4 linked regions of the Macaca fascicularis genome follow. The protein of the gene in region 4 interacts with the protein of the main gene of each other region in a pairwise test. Links are inferred from orthologs where the notes say so. Each region holds a gene or a part of one and is shown on either strand. Other genes may lie near its edges. The genes, in order: ZNRF1, ARRDC3, charged multivesicular body protein 3 and UBE2E2.

Region 1 (4,248 bases), on a different chromosome or scaffold from region 4:
AGCTTAGGACTGAAATTCTGGAATCCAATTATAAGCTCATAACTTTAGCATGGAACCTGGCAGTAGCATAATAAATAAATTTTTAGTAAGAGACAGACTGAAGAAATTTCAGCAAAAAAAAAAAAAAAAAAAAAAAACTCCCTTTCTTCCTCCCTACATATCTCATATTTTTCAACACACAAAATTCTGTGATTTTAGAGAAACTTCGTATAGTGCTTTTAAGTTCAAAACCAGATGCTCATTACAGTTCTTTTAAACACCTAACCAGTCATCTCAAAAATATGGCTAACTCTCTGAACTAAATTTCATAGGAAAGATTATTAATTTCAAAATGCCTAATTTTGATCAAATGCCTGAAAGAGCCAAAGGCAATCATGTTTTGCATCTCATTCAGGTCAGAGTTCGATGAGGTCAGAAAAGCTCCAATGATATCCGGAGGTCTGTTCAGAGATTAAAATATCATCCTAACAATTCACAAGCTACTTCTAAGGGTTACCCTAAATTAGTCACTAACAGTTCGTCCCCCAACTCTATTTCACATAGTTTATAGAATTGACAAAAAACCGAACCAAATGAAAACAAACCCCAGGATATTTGCAGGGAGGGGGAAAGCGATACCCCAAAAGTCAACCCTATTTCACAGTAGGTAAAACAGTGATCCACGAGATATTACCCTCCATAAAGTACCCTAAAGGCAGGAGCAATCTTTCCCCTACACAATATCTAAATTTTCCCAACTCACCCAAAAGAAACTTAAGATGTAAGTTATTCACTCAACTTGCCAATTAGCAAACAGCGGCCCCACACACCTTTTGGCCAATTTTCTAGAAGCCTGACCTAGCAGACAGACCTGTTTTCCTCCTGCCAGGCCTTTTTAGCCCTCCCAGTAGGAGCCTGGGAAATCCCCCTCCAACCTTTTGCTGGCCTGTCACCAGAAGTTCATAAAATGAATTCATCCAGATTCTCTGAATCCTCCTTTCCCCCAGTCATGTGCCAACAGTCAGGCAATAATGCCCCACCTTGACAGGCTCCCTGTTACAAAAAGATGCAGATTCACGGGAAGACCAAGCACTTAGCATGGAGCAGAAGAAAAAAGATGGAGGGAGGTGAGAGTCGTGGAGCCAAGTCTGCTGCATGCAGTACGGGTGACCAGAGCCCTGGTCCTGCAAAGCCCCCGCGAGACTCGCCGGCTGGGCCCTCCGTACAGCAGCCACACCTGTCTATGCCAGCCGCCTGCCGGCTGCTCCATTTTAAACATTTCAAACAGATCTCCAGCAGGGTGGCAAAACTGGGCACCTCTCTCTCCCAGCAAGAGTGAGAGCCCTAATCCAGGCATCACTCGCCCCTAATTTTATTTCATTTTCATACTCTCTGTTTTGGAGACACTGCTTGCTCCAACTGGCTCCATCTCTCCGTTACTGGTGAGGCAGGCACAGTGCTGCAGTGGCAGAATGGAAGCACCCAGGCTGACTTGCTCTCAGCCAGAGAAGACCGCTTCTCTGAGGAGGGAGATGCCAATAAATGGGACTCCAATAGGTAGGCTTCGCTCTGCCCTTCCACAAGTGAACACACGCCGGGAGTCCTACATCGCCAGGCTCCGCAACCTTGCAGAAAGCCTAGTTTCCAGAGGGTAGGTATCCCATTCATCCCTTGGCATCGGGAACCAAAGGGAAGGCAGACAGATCCCGGTCGTGCACTATATTCCCAAACCTTGGCACGCGCGCGAAGGCTTGGGGCGCCCCGGCGCGCCCTCCCTCCGAGGCCTCCACCACCGTGGACTCACCACTGTGCGAGCTGAACCACCTGGGTGCGATGTGCAGAGGTAGAGCATCCGCCAGCGAGGCTCGGGAGCCCAGGTACAGCATCCCGTCTCTATGGTGACTGCCGCCCGTCTCCTGGTAACCATTGCCATGGGCATAGGTGGAGTCGGACGCGGACCCTCCGCCGCCGGGCGCCCTCTCAGAGTCGCCGGTGCCCCGGGAGGCGGGGGTGTAGAGGCCAAAGGGCACCCCCCCTGCTGTGCTGGGGTCCATGCCCATGCCTGCCACCGAGCTGACCGAGCGGCTGCGCAGCCCCATGGCCCCGCCGCCCGTCCGGTAGTGCCCGAAATGGGGCGCCCCTCCCGGCGGCGGCACGGCGCTGTCATCGGTGGAGACCCCCGGGAAGGGGCCCCGGGAGCGGGTCGCCGTGCTCTGCTTGCCCCCCATGCTCGCCCGGGCCCCGGTGGGGCGGGAACCTGGAGGCCGAGACCCTCCCCCACTTCTCAGCAGCGGGGGGAGGGCTGGGCGAGCATAAAGAGGGAGGGAGTCAAAAAGGAGACCCGAAGGGAGAAAAGAAAAAAGCAAAAGAAAAAAGGAAAAAACCCGCGGGGCGGAAGAGGCAGGCGGGCGGACGGGGATCCCAAACTCAGAATTTCAAACGATCCAAGCCAAACGCACGTTTCCCCTCAAGGTCCAAAGAGGCGCAGTCCGGCGCGGGCTCCGCGCGCCACAGGCCGCCCCCGGGCTCCGAAAGCCGGGGGAGCCGCAGGGAAGGAGGGAGGGAGGCGGCGGCGAGAGGCAGGCGGGCGCGGGGAGGCGCCGGAGGAGGCCGCCCGCCCCGCGGGAGGAGGAGGAGGACCGGGGGCGCCAGGCGCGTCCCCCGCCTCAGGACGCCGCGACCATGGACGGCGGCCCGGACCTCTCCAGGCCTCGGGCGGGCCGCGGCGCTGGGCGGCCAGGCGCAGCTCGGGAAGCCGCGGTCGCGTCGTGTCGCGCTCTCGCTTCAGTCGCCGCCGGCCCCGCCAGCCGCGCCACCCCGCTCGGTCCCGGGCAGCGCTTGCCGGCGCTCCTGGCCGCCGTGGAGACAATGGAGGGCGGCAGAGCGCAGGCGCGGCCTGCGCCCCCTCCCCCTCCCCCCGTCGGGTTAACCCTTTCGCGGCCCCTGCGGCGCCCGGGCAGCTGACGCCCCAGCAGTCCCCACCCACCGCCCGCCCCCGGCCGGCCTGTGACCTGGGCGGCCTGAGCCACTGGGCGTTAGCCACAGAAACCAGATGTCTTTGAAAAGCAAACACTTCTTAAGTCCCCGAAAATGGCAAATTATTCAGGGGGAACCACGTATGGGGGAGGGGCAGCAATGGTTCGAGGGGGTGGGAAGGAAACACCGGGAAGAAGGAGATTTACTCCTTACGCCTACCTGGCTCTGAGGGTCACCAGTCGAGCTCCCCTCCTGGCACAAATTTGCCCCCACAGCACCCTCTGGTGGACGTGATGTCCATTCTTTCGGGGGTTCCCCATCCAAGCACCCCTCAGGTCCGGAATCTCAACATTTGGCGGGGTTTAGCTATTTGGGGGTAAACAGCGCCATGGGGACACTTGTGAATCCGGAGTGTTGCTGACACTAGGTCAGAACTTCCTATTTTGGGCTTAAGCAAATGAGTAGATTCCTTAGCTAAAATGTAATTTTCAGAACCAATAGAGGTACCATAAAATGTGAATAGATATGGATATGGAAATAGAACAACGTAGCTAGAAGTGATTATAGAAACCTTCTGTCCAAGGTTGGAGCCCTGTTTTGTTTACCATGTTCTGTGTTTCGGCCTACACCACGGCCAAGGACACGGTGGGTACTCAATAGGTGTATTGTTGACCAAGCCTGCATCATTTTGCAAGGGAGGGTTCCTTTGATACCTCAGTCCGTCTTTCTCTCCTATATTCACATTCATTCAGCGAACAATTGTTTTTCTTTTTCTTTTTTTTCTTTCTTTTTTTTTCTTTTTTTTTTTTTTTTTGAGACGTAATCTCACTCTGTCACCCAGGCTGGAGTGGAGTGGCCTAATCTCGGCTCATCGCAACCTCCGCCTCCCAGGTTCAAGCGATTCTCCTGCCTCAGCCTCCTGAGTAGCTGGGATTACAGGTGCGTGTCACTGCACCCGGCTAATTTTTTGTATTTTTAGTAGAGACAGGGTTTCACCATATTGGCCAGGCTGGTCTTGAACTCCTGACCTCAGGTAATCCGCCCGCCTTGGCCTCCCGAAGTGTTAGAATTACAGGCGTGAGCCACCACACCTGGCCTGTTTTTCTTTTCCTTTCTTTCTTTCTTTCTTTTTTTTTTTTTTGAGATGGAGTCTTGCTCTGTAGCCCAGGCTGGACAACCTCCGCCTTCCAGGTTCAAGCAATTCTCCTGCCTCAGCCTCCTGAGTAAAAGTCTGTTAAAAATTTGAAAATCAGGCCAGGACATGGTGACTCGCTTGTAATCCCAGCACTCTAG
Region 2 (3,567 bases), on a different chromosome or scaffold from region 4:
TTCTGACCTACTGTGTAATTGTTAGAAAGAGGTATAAAATTAATATATTGACCTTTATATTCTGCACAGACCACTTGCTACCTCATTCGAAGGCCGACATGGCAGTGTGCGCTATTGGGTGAAAGCCGAATTGCACAGGCCTTGGCTACTACCAGTAAAATTAAAGAAGGAATTTACAGTCTTTGAGCATATAGATATCAACACTCCTTCATTACTGGTAAGAATTGACTGAATTATTCATTCTTTGTTTTTGGCATATAAATATTAAAGAATAATCAATCACCTAAACTATGCAGTTGTCATAATTTAAAAATACTGGTTTTCTTTTAAAATTCCATAAATATACATTTTCTTAAATACAGTCAAGAACACTGAAATTAATGAAAAATATGCTCACATTTTTGACATTGTAGTACCTTTAAGTAAATATGAAACTAAGACCAGTATATGATATGAAGTATCTCTTACTCACAATATGAGTAACAAAAGCCATAACAACAAACAGATCTGGTCCTTGGATGATTTGAGTGGAAGAAGGACAGTAGTATCTTTTATTGTAATACAATATCACTTAACTTGACAACATCATAATCTAAAATTTGTACTATACTTTGTTATTCCAATAGAGGGATAGTTGTCAAATAATGGGGAATCATTCGTTTCATTAAAAAAACTCCTTTTTTAAAAGAATCTATTTTTAATTGCATTTGTCTGAGAATAAATCAAATTTGACTTAAAACTGTATTTGGTTTAAACAAATGATAACATCTTTAAAGCAAATAAGAAATGGGCATTTTCCTTTTTTTACATTTTTTTTTATATTCTCAGAGGAAGATGTTAACATTTGGAATTATAGTCAGATTGCTTTCTGTGCTGCCTTTTTAAGGCAGTTTAAATGGAATGTGGAAAGGGTTTTTTTTATTTGGTTGGTTTTTCATTACTGTATTTGTAAATAGTGTGAACTAAAAAACTGTTTATGGGAAACGCTGTACACCCTTTACCTTTTTTTTCTAATTGAATGGAAATTTATATAAAAATAAAAGTAATGGTATAATTCAAAACCATCAATTAGTTAAAAAATAAGAAGTATATCTGGATCCAAAAAAAAAAGCAAAACCAGTTTTAATTTTTATTTTTCCACAAATTTAGGATTATATTTTAAAATATTCTGGTATTGATTGTACCAATCCATACACTGACCTTTTTCTCTAAATTGTTTTCTTACAGTCACCCCAAGCAGGCACAAAAGAAAAGACACTCTGTTGCTGGTTCTGTACCTCAGGCCCAATATCCTTAAGTGCCAAAATTGAAAGGAAGGGCTATACCCCAGGTATGTATGAGGTAGATTCCCACAAAAAACTTTCTTCACTTAGCTTTTGTGTATAAATTTATAATATAACTATTAAATATCAACATAATATCGTATTCTTTTGTGAAATTACAAATTGTGCTTTTCCATTTGTTTTTTCACAAAATAGAATGTAGTTTCCTTTTTCAAATAGCTACTGATGAGTTCATTTCTATGACTCTTAAGTTATTTGCAGTTCCTAGGACACCTTTTCGTGCATGTTAGTTGCTCTTTCTTACTTTAGCTTTAAGAATCTTGATTTCTTGGCCAGGCGCAGTGGCTCAAGCCTGTAATCCCAGCACTTTGGGAGGCCGAAACGGGCGGATCACGAGGTCAGGAGATCGAGACCATCCTGGCTAACCTGGTGAAACCCCGTCTCTACTGAAAAATACCAAAAAAAAAAAAAAAAAAAAAAAAAAACACTAGCCGGGCGAGGTGGCGGGCGCCTGTAGTCCCAGCTACTCGGGAGGCTGAGGCAGGAGAATGGCGTAAACCCGGGAGGCGGAGCTTGCAGTGAGCTGAGATCTGGCCACTGCACTCCAGCCTGGGCGACAGAGCGAGACTCTCTCAAAAAAAAAAAAGATTCTTGATTTCTTTTGTTATTTTTTTCTAACCGGGCGACAGAGCGAGACTCTCTCAAAAAAAAAAAAAAAAGATTCTTGATTTCTTTTGTTATTTTTTTCTAACAGTAGATATGTATATATTTTTCCCTCTCTAGGTGAATCAATTCAGATATTTGCTGAGATTGAGAACTGCTCTTCCCGAATGGTGGTGCCAAAGGCAGCCATTTACCAAACACAGGCCTTCTATGCCAAAGGGAAAATGAAGGAAGTAAAACAGCTTGTGGCTAACTTGCGTGGGGAATCCTTATCATCTGGAAAGACAGAGACGTGGAATGGCAAGTTGCTGAAAATTCCACCAGTTTCTCCCTCTATCCTCGACTGTAGTATAATCCGTGTGGAATATTCACTAATGGTATGTACACATTTAAGAGGTTTTTTCCTTTCTTTTTTCTTTTTTGAAACACCTGTCACCCAGGCTGGAGTGCCACGGCACAGTCTCAGCTCTGCTGCAGCCTCTGCTTTCTGGGCTCCAGTGGTCCTCCCACCTGAGCCTCCCAAGTAGCTGGGAATACAAGTGTGCCTGTAGCCAGGCCTGGATAATTTTTGTATTTTTTGTCGTGATGGAGTTTCACCATGTCACCCAGGTTGGTCTTGAACTCCTGGGCTCAAGTGATCCACCCACCATGGCCTCCCAAAGTGTTGGAATTAGAGGCTGAGCCATAGTGCCTGGCCCAAGAAGTCTTTGGTGTTTTGTTTTGTTTTGTTTTTAATCTTAAAGTTATGGAGACATAATTTTGTCTTACATCCAGGTTTTTTAATTCCATATATAGTGACATATGAAATACATAACTCTTTATATAGTTTGACTTATAATTATACCTTATATGTAAATGTACTATATAGAATTATACATAAAAGAGAAACTTTTCATGTATGTAAGATAAAAAATGAAGTAAATGGGGGTTTCAAATAACATTAAAATTGGTTATTAGTTTTTGAAAAGGAAATCATACTTGGCATTCTAAACGTAATATTTCTTTGCAATGTTTAGGTATATGTGGATATTCCTGGAGCTATGGATTTATTTCTTAATTTGCCACTTGTCATCGGTACCATTCCTCTACATCCATTTGGTAGCAGAACCTCAAGTGTAAGCAGTCAGTGTAGCATGAATATGAACTGGCTCAGTTTATCACTTCCTGAAAGACCTGAAGGTAATTTGATAATACATATCTAAGCTTAATTTCTTACTATTATTATCAAGAAAATTATTTTGCTTCTGATATTTTATGACCCTAGATGAATGTAATCTTCCCCTAAAGAAAGTAGATGTGCCCCTAATACTCAGTTTTGATTATATGTCTTCATAGTTTTAATCACCAAACAAATAATTATTATTTTACCTTGACATTGCTTTTTAATACCTACTATTTTGTGTATTTTGACATGCATAAGAACATGCTGTTCGAATTGCGTGTATCTTTTTCCTTCAGCACCACCCAGCTATGCAGAAGTGGTAACAGAGGAACAAAGGCGGAACAATCTTGCACCAGTGAATGCTTGTGATGACTTTGAGAGAGCGCTTCAAGGACCACTGTTTGCATATATCCAGGAGTTTCGGTTCTTGCCTCCGCCTCTTTATTCAGAAGTAAGTAC
Region 3 (3,567 bases), on a different chromosome or scaffold from region 4:
GCAAATTCTGTGAACCCAATTCTACATCTTTTAAGTAAGAAGCATATGAGCCATACTGTTTAAAAATGTATATGAAGCCTGTATGTGTCATACGTAAAACTAAATAATTAATAAAGTGGTGCCTTTTTGGAGTGGTACAAATTTGGTAATTTCCTAATAATTATGTGATAACCCCACTAAAATACAAGCCCTATTCTATAAGAGATAGATTTTTGTCTATTTTGTTCGCTTTTGCCTGACACGTAGGAAGTTCTTACTACATACTTATTGAATGTATGACACCTAAGTGGGTATATTCAGGTTCTACTAGTAGCTCTTGTCTATAGAATACAATGAAAGTACAATATCATGATTCTTAACAGTCTAAAAAATGGAATTACTGAAATTGGGAATCTAGGATTCTTGCAACCTTATTAGTGTTACTCTTTTCCTTTCTTTAGGTGACTTGATGGAGGGTGAGCTCTATTCTGCTCTCAAGGAAGAAGCATCGGAATCGGTTTCTAGTACCAATTTCAGTGGTGAAATGCACTTCTATGAGCTTGTGGAAGACACAAAAGATGGCATCTGGCTGGTTCAGGTATGAAAAGCAGTGATAATTTGATATTTTGAGAACCCTAAAAAATTATTTTTACTCAAATAGTATGTACTAGCCAGTGACACTTCGTGTACTTGTGTCTTGTTTCTCACACATAACTTAGTTCTCTTAGGGAGGCTCTAGTATCTTTAAAAGGTTTTGGAGACTGAGGAAAATGAAAATTGACTAGTGGGAAAGAGAAAGTTGGGGGATGGGAGTCAACTTTTTGTTTAGAATCCCCAGAAGCAAATCTATTTTAATTATTGGACCTTTGTTGAATTGAGAAATACACATATATATCCCTTTTATTTAGTGATTTGCACTGTTTCTCTCAGTTTTTGTTATCTCCAGTTTTTAATTCAGTGGCCTGAATAATTTTTATATGTAAGTAAGAACCCTAAAGTAAAAGTAAAGGAATCATTTATTAGGGAAATAGCCAACTTTGTGACTATAGAGAAGCTGTTGCGGAAAATGGTGGGGGTGCTTATTACATAGCTCATGATGATGAGATTATAATTTTTAACCCTCGTTTTTATGATAGCAAAACTGTGAGACTTAATTAGCATATTAGAATTTTAGAGCTATGAAGGACCTTAAAAATATTTTATACTTTCCAAGATATAATTTATGGCAAGTGGGCACGCATTATCGTTTACATATTTTCATTTAAATTAGAAAAATTATATTAACATGTAAATTTCATAAATTTTGCTTAGGAAGGACTAAAGTTATTTACATTTTAAAACTGTACATTCACTTAAAGTGACATATCAAGTAAATTAACAGCATGAATGTGGCTAAAATTATTAATGTAGTCTGTGAATGGCTGAAGCTTGGAAATTGTATCAGACTAACCTTTTCTGAGACTCTGAGAGGTGAACTAGCTTGCCCAAGGTCATGGAACTAGTTGGTAATATTGAACCAGGGTGAAACCCAGATCTTCTGATTTCTTGTCCGGTACTCTTGTCATTTCACCCTGGAGTAGGCAAAGTTTGATTCAGGGCATGAAAATTAAAATAGTTTCTTCATGTTTCTTTCTGAGAGTAAAGACTGCAAATATGGTAGGAAAAGCTTTGAGTTCAGAGACCTTAGTTGCAGGTCTGGTACTGTCACTGACTAGCAGTATGATTGTGAATAGGTACGTTTTTCTGTTGTACGTGACCTCAAATAAATACATATACATCTAAAAAGGATAAAATATTACAGTAGTCCTCTGTGCTAAAGAGTTGAGGTTTGGGAATTCTTCCAGAGATGACATTGTTTATCCATAGCCTTTCTTTATTGTAACCTTCCTATTGCATTTGTCCTTTTACCTTCCAGATAATCTAATTCAGTAATTTTAAGTTCAGCAATGGGAGAGAATGCGAGGGTATAGGTGTAGTCCATACATTATCTGTTTAAATTTTAATTTATTTCTGTGTTAATTGGAGTTGAAAAATAAGCTGTAGCTTTTTTAAAGCTTTAATTTATAAGTATATTGTTATTCCATTTCCTTTCTCTGGTACTTATTTCTAATAGTCTGATTGAGAAAGACACTGGTTTTGATAATTTTAGATTTTATTACTGAAGATGAGTTGAATAGCCAGTCCCACTGCCCTGCGTTCAGTGTCTAAATGTTTGTCATCCACATTGACTGATCCCATGGAAATAAATAGTGAAGATGTTGCACCCTTGAAACATGGAAGGCCATGTCAAAAGTCTTGAGTTCTTTTGCTATATAGGCTGCTGCCTATAGACAACAAATACACTCTGGTTCAATAGTTAGCAGTATATTCTTGGCTTATAAATGATCTACTGTTTTTGATGTCCTGTTAAAGATATTTATGAATTAAGCTCCTGTAATAAATATGTGACAGAATTCATCAAAAGTTTATTTAGCAGTTGTGGGTGTGCCAGGCCCTGTTCTGGGCCCTAAAGATATACCAGAAACACATACCAAGCTATGTCCTTGCTCTGTCAGGTAGCTCACATTCTAGTTGGGAGAGGCAGACACCAAATAAATATTTAATATAACATCAGTTAGTGGAAAGTACTAAGAATAAAAATAAGCAGATTAAGGAGAGGAGAGTGGCAAGGAATTCTCTGGTAAGGTGGCAAATGAAGTGAAGAACAAATAATGATAGTAAATGGTAGCATTGTAAATTCTAGTTGCTAAATTTTTTTTCTCTGAAAATATTTTTAAACCTCATAGGTATTAATAGCTGAAAAACAACTCTTAAAAAATAGGATGTATTTCTATGGTTTTCTGTATATGGAAATGATGCAGTAGGACACCTACTTAATTTTTCCAATGATGCTCAAGGTTTGCACTGACCACCACTGTCTGGCTTGTGTTCCTTGAGGCCAGTGGCTTACATCTGTCAAATGGCTGGCCTGGTCTGAAAGAACAATCTCTGTCAGGACAACTGAGAAGAATGAGATTGAAACCTTGTCCGTGGCACTGTGAACTAGCCAGCTAAGCCAATCAGCACAGCCACCTTGGTTTAAGCCCTTAAAAGAGGGTTGTATTTTTTTTAAAACTATGCTTAAAATTGAAAATATCTACTAGAAACAGAAGAGAAATGTCGTCTCCATTGCTTGCCATTCTTTCAGCTCAGATCATATATATTAATCTATTGTAAAGGATAACTTTCAAGAATTCAGTTTTTAACAATTTGAATTGTTGTTATTTTCTGTTTACGGTAGTCCCTCCTTATCTGAGGGGGATACATTCCAAGACCCCCAGTGGATGCCTGAAACTATGGATAGTACCAATCCTATATAATCTATGTTTTTTCCTATACATACATACCTGTGATAAAGTTTAATGTATAAGTTAGGCACAGTAACAACAACTAATGATAAAAATAGAACAATTATAACAATATACTGAAATAACATTTATGTAAATGTGGTGTCTCTCTCTCCGAATATCTAATTGTATGTAGCATTTTCGGACTGCAGTTGACTGCAGAAAGTGAAACTGAGGATAAGGGGAGGCCACTGTATTTTAG
Region 4 (3,567 bases):
GATCGCTTTTATTTATACTTCCTATTTGGGCAATATAAAACATATGAAAACAAAGCAAGAACATAAAATCACAGGATCAGAAAAGACACTACTTTATCTTTCAAATTATTTTCCAAGAGATATTCTATAATGTAACAATATCAAAACAGATTCCCTCTAAGTCCACTGACATGCCAATCATTTTAAGAGATTGATGTACCAAAAGAAGACCATTCAAATACCTACTTTCCAGATCCATCTATTCTCCAGAGAAAGAGAAAAATCTGTATCAAGATGGATCCACTGACTAATGTAATGAAACCAAGATGCACTTGTCGCTAATGTCAGCATTTCTGACTCTACCAACTGGGAGTAGTGGAAAATAAACTATCACTCACTCAATAACCACTTCAAAAGATTCCTAATCTCTATTTTGTGTTACGGAACAGAAAAAAAATATTTATGGTCAAGTAACCATAAATGAAACCACTGCAACTTTACATGCACGCCCTGTATATGCTTCCCTAATAATACACAAACACACAAACACACTATGGAAATGTATTTTATGAATCTGCCATGCCATTTAACTGACTTTAAATACTGAAGTTCCCTATGGCTAAAACCATGTAAAAGAGATCATCTTGAAAGGGAAAGAAAAATCCACGAAGTTCATGGCTGACAATCACGGAAAAAATGATTAAATGCAAGAGAAAAACAGAACTTAAGATGATAAACTGATACCAAAAATAAAAAGGTTATAATAACTGAGATACCTTTTAGCACTAGTTGACAATTTAGCAGCGGTTTTGCTGGATATTTTTCCCTCCTTTTTCTTGGGCTGAACTTGTTCTCTTTCTGGTTCTTGCTGAACACTTTCACGTTGATCTCCATCGGAACTTCCTCCACTAGTGCTTGGACTGTCATCAACTCTTTGTGCCTCAGTGGACATTTTAGATCCTGGATTAAAGAATCAAAAATCATTTACTCAGCTGTGAGGACGACTACAGTAAGCTACCTCCAGAACACAGAGAATGAATCTCAAAGTAAAACAAGTAAATCTCAATATAAAACGGATTAAATTGGTCATTTACAAAACAATGCAGCTTTGGGACTTGCTAAAACTTTTCCTTCATCCATTCAAAATGTATTGTAAAACAAAAACATACAAAATTTATACATGAAACGTTCACAGCAACATTATTCATAATAACCAAAACTGGAAACAACTCAAATATCCACTAACGAATGAATGGATAAACAAAATGTAGTAGTATATTCACATAATGTACTGTTAGCCATAAAAAAGAATGAAATACAGTGTCTACGTGCTACAAAATGGATGAACCTTGAAACATTCTGTAAGTGAAAGAAGCCAGCCACAAAGCACCACAAGCTGACTATTTAGATAAAATGTCCAGAATAGGCAAATTCATAAACATCAAATTCAGTAGTAAATCTCACGCCTGTAAATCCCAATGTTTTGGGAAGCCCAGGCAGGACCAGCCTGGGCAACATAGCAGGACTCGATCTCTACAAAAAATAAAAATATGATTGATACCACTGCATTCCAGCCTGAGTGACAGAGAGAGACCCTGTCTCAAAACAAAATAATAATAATAATAAAATAAAATGGGTAAGTGGTTGCCAGGGAGTGAGGGGAGAGCAGTGAAGACTGACTGCTAATGGGTAGGATGCTTCCCTGTGGGGTGATAAAAATGTTCTTAAATTAGATAATGATAATGTTGCTCAATTCTAATAATAAATATTCTAAGAACTACAGAGTTGTACATTTTTAAACGGTAAATTTTATAGTCTGTGAATCACATATCAATAATGCTGTTACAAAAAATAAGAAAAAAATGACTAAGGGTCTACTCTCTACCAGGTGCTGTGCTAAACCCTTTGGTCCCACAACTGTGAAAAACCTGGACTAGCCAACTTGCTAAGTACAAAAACGAAGGTTAGTACAAATAGTTGTGGGAACAGAAAAATGGGAGGATTCTTTCAAATCCCTATTCCATCAATACATCCTCAGAGCTGGGCTAAGGTTAAAATTCTCCAAACTAGTAAATTGTTTTAAGTAACCTTTGTGATAACAGAAGAACACAGAGGCCTGCATGACTGCATGATTCTAAATAAAAATTGAACCATACGACGGCATCAGCACTGATTCAGCTATATACTAAAGCAACCATATTTCACAAGAGATGGCGAGACACTGAAGAATTTTTTTTTTCTTTTCCCCACAGTCTGGCTAAAATATCCCTCAAGGCATTCAAATTCCCTTTGCTCTGAGTTCAGGCTCCCCAAGCAGCTCTGATTACCAACTCAATTTCCTCAATAGCTTGATATTTAGGTAGCTGTTATAATCTAGACAGGAGACACAAACAATTCCAGTAAGAGAAGAGGAGTATCTCTTCTCAACTGTCATTCTACCATAATCAATTTCTGAGTTTGATGACTACGAATACATCCCTTACGAGCTGACTAGCCTACAGTGTTCTGACAAATCCAGAACTGAACCAACAAAACCCATGCCCAGACTCTAAAAGGTCTTGTGCTCACCACAGTTTTGTCACCTAATAATCACTTTGAGCACTGTATAGCTACCTTCTCAGACACCTCTTTAAAAACAAATACCTATACTTAACAAGTACCATTAACAACAAAAAAAATACCTTTAAAAATTAGAGGTACACTGAACAAACTCCTTTTGAAATGGATCCTTTTGATTATTCTTATTCAAATTACGACTTGAAATAAAACTGTTTCTGATATGATCAATAAGAATAGGTAAAGATACCTCAAATAAAGCAAAATTTTTAATTACTACAATTTAGTCCAAATGGATAGCTATTTGACACTGATGAAAATTCATCATTACTAAAGATTTAACTTGTAGTCTGCTCCAAGCCAAAGCAATGTTGTAACACCGATCTTTAATAGACTGAAATTTTTGTAAGACAAACCAAAAAGCACTGCAAAAGAATGGAGGCATCACGAAGCACAGAGCCGCAAAGAGTCAACAGAAAATAGTGAATCCTTTCACTGACACGCCACACACACCACCACCAGCACCCCTTCAACCCCAACAGCTCCTCATGCCACACAAAAACAGGTCTGCCTCAACAGCTCTGAAACATACTAATGGAAAAGCTGACTACTTTTCTACCTATTCTGTAAATGGAGAGCACCAGTCTCCACAGCTGTGACATCTTTTATGAGCACTAAAGTCACTTAATAGAATACTGAAATTTTTTATCAGTATGTTTCACATCTAGCTCTAAAAGTCATAACATATTTCTTGCTTTTTTTCATTTTTATTTTACTCTAAATTCTCATTCTTGGATTTAATTTTTTTTCACCTTACCTCTTTCAGTTAAAATATATCAGAAGTTTAAAACCTTCTAAGTATGTACATAATGGCATATCAGTTAGGGCAGCACGCATGACAGTGAAAACGAGAACAATCCTCAGGGAAAGGTGCTCAGATACAGCAAAATGCTGCCAGCGATACCTTAAGAAATGTGAAATGAGTGAGAAATCATTTTATACATTTTAAACCAGGAGCAATCTGTTCCATGA

What was found.
Region 1: the proteins of UBE2E2 (region 4) and ZNRF1 interact in a two-hybrid assay, tested with the Homo sapiens proteins (2 studies listed by BioGRID and IntAct). The link is inferred for Macaca fascicularis from reciprocal best matches to the Homo sapiens genes UBE2E2 and ZNRF1.
Region 2: the proteins of UBE2E2 (region 4) and ARRDC3 interact in binary tests that used the Homo sapiens proteins (3 or more experiments, as listed by UniProt). The two-hybrid records come from large-scale screens. The link is inferred for Macaca fascicularis from reciprocal best matches to the Homo sapiens genes UBE2E2 and ARRDC3.
Region 3: the proteins of UBE2E2 (region 4) and charged multivesicular body protein 3 interact in a two-hybrid assay, tested with the Homo sapiens proteins (2 studies listed by BioGRID). The link is inferred for Macaca fascicularis from reciprocal best matches to the Homo sapiens genes UBE2E2 and RNF103.

What each region holds. Positions count from the first base shown.
Region 1 is NC_088394.1:70,818,608-70,822,855, reverse strand, and holds the start of ZNRF1 (E3 ubiquitin-protein ligase ZNRF1), read right to left. Parts: upstream 2,850-4,248; 5' UTR 2,208-2,849; coding exon 1,784-2,207; intron 1-1,783. UniProt on the Homo sapiens protein: E3 ubiquitin-protein ligase that plays a role in different processes including cell differentiation, receptor recycling or regulation of inflammation. Mediates the ubiquitination of AKT1 and GLUL, thereby playing a role in neuron cells differentiation.
Region 2 is NC_088380.1:95,368,909-95,372,475, reverse strand, and holds part of ARRDC3 (arrestin domain-containing protein 3), read left to right. Parts: intron 1-69; coding exon 70-217; intron 218-1,227; coding exon 1,228-1,330; intron 1,331-2,066; coding exon 2,067-2,323; intron 2,324-2,962; coding exon 2,963-3,125; intron 3,126-3,366; exon of another isoform or gene 3,367-3,404; coding exon 3,405-3,559; intron 3,560-3,567. UniProt on the Homo sapiens protein: Adapter protein that plays a role in regulating cell-surface expression of adrenergic receptors and probably also other G protein-coupled receptors.
Region 3 is NC_088387.1:34,966,155-34,969,721, forward strand, and holds part of charged multivesicular body protein 3, read left to right. Parts: intron 1-440; coding exon 441-577; intron 578-2,424; exon of another isoform or gene 2,425-3,567. UniProt on the Homo sapiens protein: Acts as an E2-dependent E3 ubiquitin-protein ligase, probably involved in the ER-associated protein degradation pathway.
Region 4 is NC_088376.1:25,157,707-25,161,273, forward strand, and holds part of UBE2E2 (ubiquitin-conjugating enzyme E2 E2), read right to left. Parts: intron 940-3,567; 5' UTR 932-939; coding exon 756-931; intron 1-755.